Danio rerio: one gene and its partners. The protein of the gene in region 3 interacts with the protein of the main gene of each other region in a biochemical or structural test. Links are inferred from orthologs where the notes say so. Each region holds a gene or a part of one and is shown on either strand. Other genes may lie near its edges.

What was found.
Region 1: the proteins of htr2cl1 (region 3) and lin7c form a complex in vitro, tested with the Homo sapiens proteins (2 studies listed by BioGRID and IntAct, with this or other methods). The link is inferred for Danio rerio from reciprocal best matches to the Homo sapiens genes HTR2C and LIN7C.
Region 2: the proteins of htr2cl1 (region 3) and apba1a form a complex in vitro, tested with the Homo sapiens proteins (2 studies listed by BioGRID and IntAct, with this or other methods). The link is inferred for Danio rerio from reciprocal best matches to the Homo sapiens genes HTR2C and APBA1.

The regions. Positions count from the first base shown.
Region 1 is NC_133182.1:31,966,028-31,970,300, forward strand, and holds the start of lin7c (protein lin-7 homolog C), read right to left. Parts: upstream 2,958-4,273; 5' UTR 2,840-2,957; coding exon 2,803-2,839; intron 1,978-2,802; coding exon 1,859-1,977; intron 1-1,858. UniProt on the Homo sapiens protein: Plays a role in establishing and maintaining the asymmetric distribution of channels and receptors at the plasma membrane of polarized cells.
Region 2 is NC_133180.1:56,845,088-56,847,483, reverse strand, and holds part of apba1a (amyloid-beta A4 precursor protein-binding family A member 1), read right to left. Parts: intron 357-2,396; coding exon 216-356; intron 1-215. UniProt on the Homo sapiens protein: Putative function in synaptic vesicle exocytosis by binding to Munc18-1, an essential component of the synaptic vesicle exocytotic machinery. May modulate processing of the amyloid-beta precursor protein (APP) and hence formation of APP-beta.
Region 3 is NC_133182.1:23,475,438-23,478,681, forward strand, and holds the end of htr2cl1 (5-hydroxytryptamine (serotonin) receptor 2C, G protein-coupled-like 1), read left to right. Parts: intron 1-182; coding exon 183-1,144; 3' UTR 1,145-2,725; downstream 2,726-3,244. UniProt on the Homo sapiens protein: G-protein coupled receptor for 5-hydroxytryptamine (serotonin).

The DNA of each region.
Region 1 (4,273 bases), about 8.5 Mb from region 3:
ATTGATGCTATTTGTGGACATCAGAATCAATATCTAGTATCCAGTCCTTCTGCACAACAATAACTACGCATGTACTACACTAATGAGCACTTTGTCATAAGCATTAGCGATGAGAGCAATTTCAGTCATAACGACCGCTTGCATAAATGAGCTGAGTACTTGGGCAAAAAAAAAGAGAGAGGAGCTTGTGAGGATGAAACAACATCCGCCTGCTCAATTTTTTGTATTATTAACCTGTCAGTCTTTGGCACATTCATCACACCTTACTTTTTTTTCCCCCTCAGCATCACACAGCGGATCTCATTCACCAATAACGCCTTAGCAGAATACAAATAAGAGAAGTTCTTACCAAAACTTTATTTGGGCATCAATTTGTTATCCTTTTTATGATGTTAATGAATTGGTTGTACTTTAAAAACAGCAGCTGCATGCCCAGAGTTAGTCATTTGCATAAAACGCAGACAAATATCCATAGGGCTTTATGCACAACTTTTCTTTTATAAGCATAAGCCACTCTAAGCTAATAGATGGTGCTTTCTAAAGACTCACCTGTAATAACCTATTTAGATGCTATAAATATATTTTATGCTGATGTCTGGTTAGTTACACTGGAATATCAGACCCATTTTCAAATTAAATTCAGGAACGATGTAAAATAGACTGCCGATAACCCTAAATCTAAATTTTAAAACAAAATTTTTTATTACATTATAACATGCTCATTACATAAATAAATATGTAAGAATAGTTAGAGGCATTCATTATAAACATTATTTATAGGGATACTCCGATTGATCAGCCAGAGATCGGTATCGGCCATTAAACGCATTTAATAACTCAATCGGTACTCTCTGATCTGGCCGATCTCATGAACCGATTGCAAGTGTTTGTTGGAGATGTGTAAAAAGATTTGAATGACCTTGCATGCATTTAGGCCTTTTTACAAACAAAAACTAAAAGTTCTGTGTTTTTGACAATATTGAAAGTTCACTAAAACCTGTCTGGAAATATTACATAAATATATATTTTAACATGAATATTTAATAATATAACTTCTTGTAATATACTTACTGCAATAAACAGTAATGTATATGCCTATTTCCTTTTAGTAAAGAAGTAATGGATTTATAGTGGGGATTTTATCTTCTTATGCATCAAATATGCACTTCTAACTTTTTCTTTACTTATACATGTTGAATTCCTACTCCATCATTTGCATACAAATTGCATTGTTTGTCATTTTTCTTACCAATTTGTTTATGTTTTATCAATGATTTTGTATATACTGTATCTGCTTCTGACCATTACATGTTCACACCTATAAGAGGCTATAAGAGACATGTTTAAGGGATTATATGCAGCAGACATAATTTATTCTCTGGGGTAAGGAGAGATCTCTACTTAAGTATCGTACTTAAAAGCGAAAATGTGCTTAATGTAATATGAAGTTTGAAGCATTAGAATCTGTATTCTGTAACAGATTTGTTAAGGTTAATTCGTAGCATTAAAAAGGTAACCAATGCAAAACAATCCCCAGTTTTCAAACCTAGAAATTTTATAGACCATTTCAATGTGGTAATGTCATTGGCCAATGAACATTTTCTGCTTGTTATCAAACTATTTTATACCTGTAACGAGACAATTTATTCATAACTTGATGTTATAACAGCTATCGTAACACTATTTATCAATATGTGGAACATCTTGGACTCTTAGAATCTTTGGAAATTTAAATAAATTTTAATAAATTAAAAAACGGAAATATGTCAGGACCGTTGTTATTGTTTACATCCCTCAAAATTGTAAGAAGACGTTTAAATTTAACTTGAAAGCATGAATGTGATGTTGGAACACTTACCTCCCTTACGGCCTTGCAGAACTCGCTCTGCAAAACCCTCTGAAGGGCTTGCAGCTTCTGGGGTGGCACTTCCCCTGTTCTCTGGAGCTTGTCCAGCAGCTCAATGGCACGAGATATGTCTGTAGAATAACATATGTAAGACCAAGACCATGGATAATCATTTGCATCATGCCATCTGGAGATGTTGTCTGTGGCTAAACAGCTTTCCCTGATAAATAAAACAACAACACGGACCGCAGATAACATTTTAGCAAATCCTTTCTTTATGACAAATATTATTGTTGTTGTTGTTGTTATTAATATTGCGCCATATATTGTATGTAACGTTACTAGTATATAATTTAACGCTACCCAAAAGAAATAATGTTTGTAAATAAAAACTAAATAACTTAAGAATGAAATTATTTACTATTATAATGCTACTTACCGGTTTCTTCTTGATTTATACAGATACATGTAAATATTAAGATAAAAACAGACGGTCATAAATCAGAGTTTTAGCTGATCTACTAGCCTAAGTTAACTCTACTGTGTATTAAAGCTTCAGTTAAACTCAAAATAAGTTGCTGACTATTAGGACGTCACTGAAAGACTTTACTAACCCCTAGAAATACTCAGATGCACTGATCTCTGACCTGAAGTGCCCATGCTAACAGAGCTCACAAAAGATTAACGCTTTTGACAGCTACCCTCGTGTTTTCCTTTCGTTGAACGTAAACTCACCGCTTTAACGACATATAAATGTCCGTATTGCACATTTTATACGTTTTGTGAACGTAGTTTAGTTTATAGAAAAACGTGTATGATCTCGAACGGTGAATTGATGCTAGCTCTCTGTCGAGCACTAATCCATCCTCACGAAGTGACAGCGGGAGAACAAAAAGCGTGATTTACACAACATCCTGCTTCACGTACGGCAGAAAGTGTCTCGGTGCGCGGCTTACCTCTTTCCAGACGTACAGGTTCTCCTAAAGAGGCCATTATAGCCCTGGTTGTTGAGTTTGCGTTTGGTGAAAGCTCCAGAGTTGCGACTCGGCGGCTGTGTTTGTTGCTGTTAGCTTGCTGAGCTTAAGCGTTGTGGCTAATGCACCGAGATTACGGATGAGCGTCAAGAGCGTCATTCCTGCGTTGCTTCCGCGCAGACACTTTGCATACCATAACAAACTGACTTTATTATGATTTTCTCAATGAAATTGGAATATATTATATATAATTTTAACATTAAACAATATATTTAAAGCAAATATGGACTGTTCGACTTGGTATTTTGTTTAGGACATCGAGTTTGACTGCATAAATTATTACAATTCAGATAGTAGACACGTGTAATAGGGCTGTTTTACTGTCAGTAATATGTTACTGGACTAGTTAAGAAAATAATGTTATGGCAGCTATACAGTGATATATGGTCAACAACATAACCCACGCTCAATTGGATAATGTATTAGCCAATCAGAATCCAAGGGCAGAAATATTTCCATACATTTTAAACCATATGAATGAATAGTTTATTCCAGGTAAGGAATGCATTTATATATGATGATTTATTTATTTATTTATTTATTAAATTTTTTTTTTACAATTCAGACTACAACTGTTTATTTTAGAAATCTTTAGGCACACTTTAGGGTATTATTTTTGGGTTATTTTGACATCAGATGATACATTTAAAAAACTTTAACAATGTTATCACATTACTATCAAGAAATATATGACTGTGTTTTCATTGTTGGTTCTGTTATATTAGTTACATGAAATATGTTTACTTATATATTATTTAAATAAAAATTATTTGTTGCTAATGCTAAAAAATGTTAAGATTAATTAATGCTTTAAAAATGTTTATTTTGTTGAAGTAATTAATGATAACAAATTACATATTTTTGTAAAACTATTTTTCTTAGAAAAAACATTTATAGAGGATACAAATACATATATATGACTTTGAAATATTAAATATTGATGACCAAACGGCACGTTTTTTTTTTTTATCAAGCAAAAATAATTGTTGTACTTTTGTATTTTTTTCTTTTTTTTTATATTTCCCAAATTATGTTTAACAGAGCAAAGAAAGTTTTACAGCATGTCTGATAATATATCTTTTTCTGGAGAAAGTCTTATTTGTCTTATTTTGGCTAGAATAAAAGAAACTTTTATTTAAAAAAATAATAAAATTTAAGGTCAAAATTATTAGCCCCTTTAAGCTATATATTTTTTGATATACAGAACAAACCATCATTATACAATAACTTGCCTAATTGCCTAGTTAAATTAACCTTGTTAAGCCTTTAAATATCACTTTAAGCTGTATTGAAGTGTATTGAAAAATATCTAGTAAAATATTATTTACTGTCATCATGGCAAAGATAAAATTAATCAGTTATTAGAAATGAGTTATTAAAACTATTATGTTTA
Region 2 (2,396 bases), on a different chromosome or scaffold from region 3:
ATTCATTTTGGTTGTGTGTACAAAAATACTTATAAAAGTTCAAAAACCTTTCTTTTGGTCTGCGTAAAACAGCTAAAGAGGGTGCAGTTTTAGTCCATAATTTGATGATTCTTATAAAAATAAGATGGACTATTGCTCACTAGAGAAAGAATAATGTGAGCAATATTTTGTAAGGCAGTTGCAAGCTTGGACTTGTTTCTGCTTTCCAGACTTACCTCACCAACTGCATTGGACAGAATGTGTACAATCTTTTCATGAGGGGTGGCCACAACACTTTGACTATTGATCTCAATGATCCGGTGGCCAACACGCACCCCACCTCGTTCTGCTATCCCTCCTCTCATCAGACTGCAAATCTGTAGAGAAAAGAAGAAGAAAAAAAACATTAAACTTTCATTTTAGACCAGAATATAATATTTAATACAGGTTTTTAAATGTTTTGTTCTTTTAGTCTTTTGTATTCTCGTTTTTCATGTCTTTTACTTTCAGTTTTCAACTAGTTGAAATAAATATTTTAATAGTATGTATTTAAATGTATAAATTTATGTATTAAATAACATTTATTTTGTAAAAGTAACAAAAAAAATTTGTATAGTCCATTTTAGGTTACTATAATAATGCCACATCTGAAACATTCACATAAAATTCATTATTAAAAAAAAAAAAAAATCATTAACATAATCATTCAAGAAATACAATTCTGATCAACCTTATTTATTTGAAGGGTTATTATAAAGGACTGTAATAAAGATTCTATATAAACAAAACTATTTTGCCATTACATTACAAATAAACAACATTTTATTAAAAAATAATTTTGAATGCTACAAGGATTGCATTAAAACATGTGCTACTTCATACACGTTTATTCTCTTTGTGTAAATTGGAACAAAACAAAAAAAATTAAAGAAAAAAGCACATTTGACATAATATCACACAAAACTGCATAAATGGCCTGGACATAATTATATCATATTTTCTCTTCAATCCACACCCAGGGAAATTAGCTACAGTGCCATGGGTTGCAAACTTCTTGTAATGTTGTGCACTGTGGGCGAAGGCAAATCTAGATTTCTGGAGATGGACCTGTAACCTTGAGACTGTGTATATTTTCCCCCAGTTTTAGTTCCCCAAGTCCTCAGACAGTTCTCTTCTCCTCTTTCTGTTGTCTATGCTTAGTGTGGCACACACAGATACACAATGCAGACTAAGGCCCCATTTACAGTAATACGTTTTAGTTTTAAAACAGCGTTTTAGAATAAAAACGATCAGCGTCCACACTAGCGTTTCACCCAGAATTTCTGAACAGCTCTGGGTCTACATTAAATCGCTGAAAACGCACATCACGTTATCACACTCACACTCTGAAATGGACTGCAGCATGCTTTGAGGACATACCCATATGAGAGCTGTGCACGTCGCACTGTTCATCAAGGATCTACCGCTGGATCTAATCTCAGTATATTTGTTAATAATGATGTTTAATTCATCCTCTTGTCTACATCTAACGACATATTCCCCGACTTTGGTCTTCAGAATATATTACTTGTTCTCAGGTGTTTTGGCTGAGTGCAAGGATAAGTTGGGTTAATATATCAATTAATGTAACCGCATACACTGATTCTGCATAGTGACTGATTGCTTTACCTTTATTTCCTATATTGTATAAACTTATTGTACGTTGTATCATAAAAAAATCGTTTTATAATGGCCATTATTGATTATTAAAACTGATATTCAGTGAAAGGAGGTATGTTTCATATTTTCAATGAAAATGAAAGTTATGTTATCAGCTCTGTTTTGCTTTAAATATGTATGAAGATGACACTCATATTATGCAGCTACACGACGCCTCAACACATTTGATGTCTGTTAAGTTGCTATTGAAAATAGGCTGTTCCTCATATCATGTTTTCATTTTATTGTTAAGAAAGTACTTTAATAATAGTAGTAATATTACTACTTAATATTGAGGAAAAAGCCCCAATCAGTGAATGTCTGCAGCCCCGCCTCCGTATTCAGATGTCTCTGTTTTCCCCTATCCACACTGAGATGGAGCAGCAGCGTTTTAGAATGAAAACGACCTTTCCAGTTTTTTTAAAACGCTTTGTTTTTGGGGCTCCAAAAATCTGCCGTAGTGTGGACGGAGGCGTAACCATAGCAAAACTTGTGCTTTTTAAAACTAAAACGAATTAGTGTAAACGGGGCCTTAGTGAACTTCTCTCCTTTTTTATCAGCTTTCAAGTGTGATTTTTAATTGCCCACACCTACTACATGCCCCAGGTTAGTTAAAGGAGCAACACATGCTTAAAAACAATCTTATTTATTCACAATTTTGAAATGGTGACAATAATTTTGTCCAGCCCATTTTGCAGTTTTGTTTGACATTATGTCAA
Region 3 (3,244 bases):
ACGATTAGACATATTGGTCTTCAGTTGTCACAACTCTCAATATGACTCTGAGTTTGCTATGAGGGAATGAAGTGCAAAAGGAAGCTCCGCCCATACTCTATAGTCTGTTTTAGTTGGAATTACATTAGTGGAATTACTTCCAGTTCAGGCAGACTCTAACATTCTCTGTTACTTTTCTGCAGGTATCTCAATGCCCATTCCAGTGATTGGACTGAGTAACAGGGAAAAGGTCTTGAAGAATGGCATCTGTGCTCTAAACGAGGAACTCTTCATACTGGTTGGCTCTTTTGTTGCCTTCTTTATTCCTCTGGTCATCATGGTGGTCACATACTGTCTCACCGTCCAAGCACTTCAACGCCAGGCCACAGTCTTCCTCTATGAGGGCAAAGCTTCTTCCCAGCAGCCTTTGCAGCCTCCAGCTCCACCTTCTTCCCAGTTGGTCCCACCCTTGGCTCCATCTCGTCGCAGCAGTCTGAACTGCTTACGGATCAGCAACAGCGATGGAAATACACTCGGTTTGACCGTGCCCCCAGACACTATCTCAATAATCCCAAGTTCAGAAGCGCCATCTCAAATGAATTCACCCGCAGGACGGGACCCAGCTGGAGCTCATGGACGACGGGGGATGATGCAGGCCATCAAGAACGAGCGGCGAGCATCCAAAGTGTTGGGTGTAGTGTTCTTCCTCTTTCTATTCATGTGGTGTCCCTTTTTCATCACTAACGTACTGTACGTCCTCTGCCATAGAACCTGTAAGGAAACTCTACTCACGGAACTGCTCAACGTGTTTGTTTGGGTGGGTTACATCTCATCAGGGGTCAACCCTTTAGTGTACACTTTGTTTAACAAGACCTACCGAAGGGCGTTTTCAAACTATATGCACTGCCAATACAGACACGTAGGGCTTAAACCCATCACTATAAACGTTCCATGTCCATCCCATGCGGTAGTCACACCTATTCTGATGTGTGACAAAGTTTCCATTGACCGGAATAGTAACTGCCGCAATGGGGATGGGAATGGAATCCGAAATCTGGAGACTCTTGATATAGACACTGACACCGGACTGGAGTTGAAACCTGGAATATCAGAGATCTCTATAAGCAGCGGTCACAGTCACACAGAACACACCAGCAGTGTCTGAAAACAGGACAGGGAGTGACCAAGCTTTAAGTGTGGAGATGCTGTGCCCATGAAAAAAAATGTTACTCTGATGAACCGTCTCCTCAACCTCAGCTGTAACACAGCATAGAATGTATGCTGAATTAGCTCCAGAAACAATAATCTGACTGAGGTCAGAAAAGTGAGGGGGAATGTAACATGAACGAGTGTGTGTTTGTTTGTGTTAACAGGTTCAGATGTTTGAATGCCATTAAGTAATGCATGAACACCCAGTCTCTTATCAAAGCAGCACTGGACATTATGAGACTGCAGTCCATGCAAGATAGAGTGATAGCGTCCTCTTGTGGTCGATCGAGTAATTACAAAACAATCTAGTGTGAATCCAAAAAGTCCCTGTCATCCAAGCTAGTTGCATTACAATGGATGAAGCTATGCTGTCTACATACACTTGCAAATCAGATCATTCTTTGTGTAACTTGTAAACATATCCAATGCTACATGCTGAATCCTTTGAGTTGCAGTGAAACAATAATACAATATTCGGGTCATCATGTATTTCCTGCTCTAACAATGTAGAGGAAATGACTGCAGTTCTTTCCTCTGACCCAGAAATCTGGACCAAATTAAATTAGACAAAAGGGTTACATCATACCTATCTTAAAACTTTAAAACAAACATTCAAAAATACTAAAGACACAACAAATATGGCTTTAGTTTTGTTTTTAATGCAGTCCAAATTTGAAGCTTTATTTTTCTTCAGTTTTTATTGTTCAAGGACCGCCCAGAGGCCATCTGACTGACATGTATAGAAACCAATCCCAGTTTGTTTTGTTCCAGGACTTTTAAGGGATCTGAAAATGACAAGAGTAGTATAACTTTAAAAAAGTCTATGCCTGAAAGACTCGTTTGAAATCCCAGGGTTTAGTTGTACTTGTAAGTTCTAATTGTCACTTATATAAACACAATGGCTTTCCATATGAAGATGTATGGCATTATGATGGCTTTTTGTCCAGTTGAACAGTTAAAGAACGAGATGTGCCTCTCATGGAAATCCTGTAGATTTCATATAATTAATTGATGATTTCAAAAGTCTTTCCAGTTTTGTTTTCCATAATCAGCAGATATGCCAGCAATCCGTGGGTGGCCCAAACTGCTTCTCAAGGATAGTTTTTCAGCAGGTATTGAAGTAATTCAGCTCTCCTGTGAATGTAAGGTTTGTTGTGTGCTGCCTCATCAGTTGGTCATGACAGAGCGAGAGAAGAAGCAAAATTGCACAAGAGACATGAGTACTAATATCATTTACTTTATATGGACATTTATTTGGTGTCCATGGCAACAGATGTTGGTCTGCAAGACCAAAAATTATCATTTGAGGATGTCTAGGAACAAACAATGTAAAAAGCTGTAAATTTTTGCTGTTTTCCTGTGTAGAGCCTTAGAATTTCTCCTCTATCACCTACCCTTGCTCAAAGTCCATTTTTATACCATAGCCTGTGAATGTTTACCAGATCCTTTTTTGTTTAAAAAAACATCCTTGCAATGTCATCTTTTTGTGAAGCTGCTATTTATTTAATAAAAGACAATTCTCATTCATTCTGCAGCATACCTCAGGGTGGTAGTCATTGTGTTTTGTCAATTGAAGCATATCCAGCATGCATGTCATTTGTGTACATCTACTGAAAATGGAATCTATTTTTTCCAGGACCATGGACAGCGCCAGATGTGACAATAGACAGGAAATCTTTACACTGCATTGCATTTTTACCCTTTGGTTTAGACCATTTTTACACACACACACAAAAATAGTTAATGGATGATTTGTAACAAAATCATTGTTCTGTGCATGCTATCTCTAGTTTGCAATCTATTTTGGTATTTTGCCTGTACATTTATATATTTATATATATATATATATATATATATATATATATATATATATATATATATATATATATATATATATATATATATATATATATATATATAAAATAAATATTATTATTAATATTATTATTAAATAATATATAATAAATAATATAAAATATTAATTTGGTTGTGTAAACTTTTTAATCAATCAGCCACATTACATTACACATAACGACTCAGTTTATTAAAACTACTT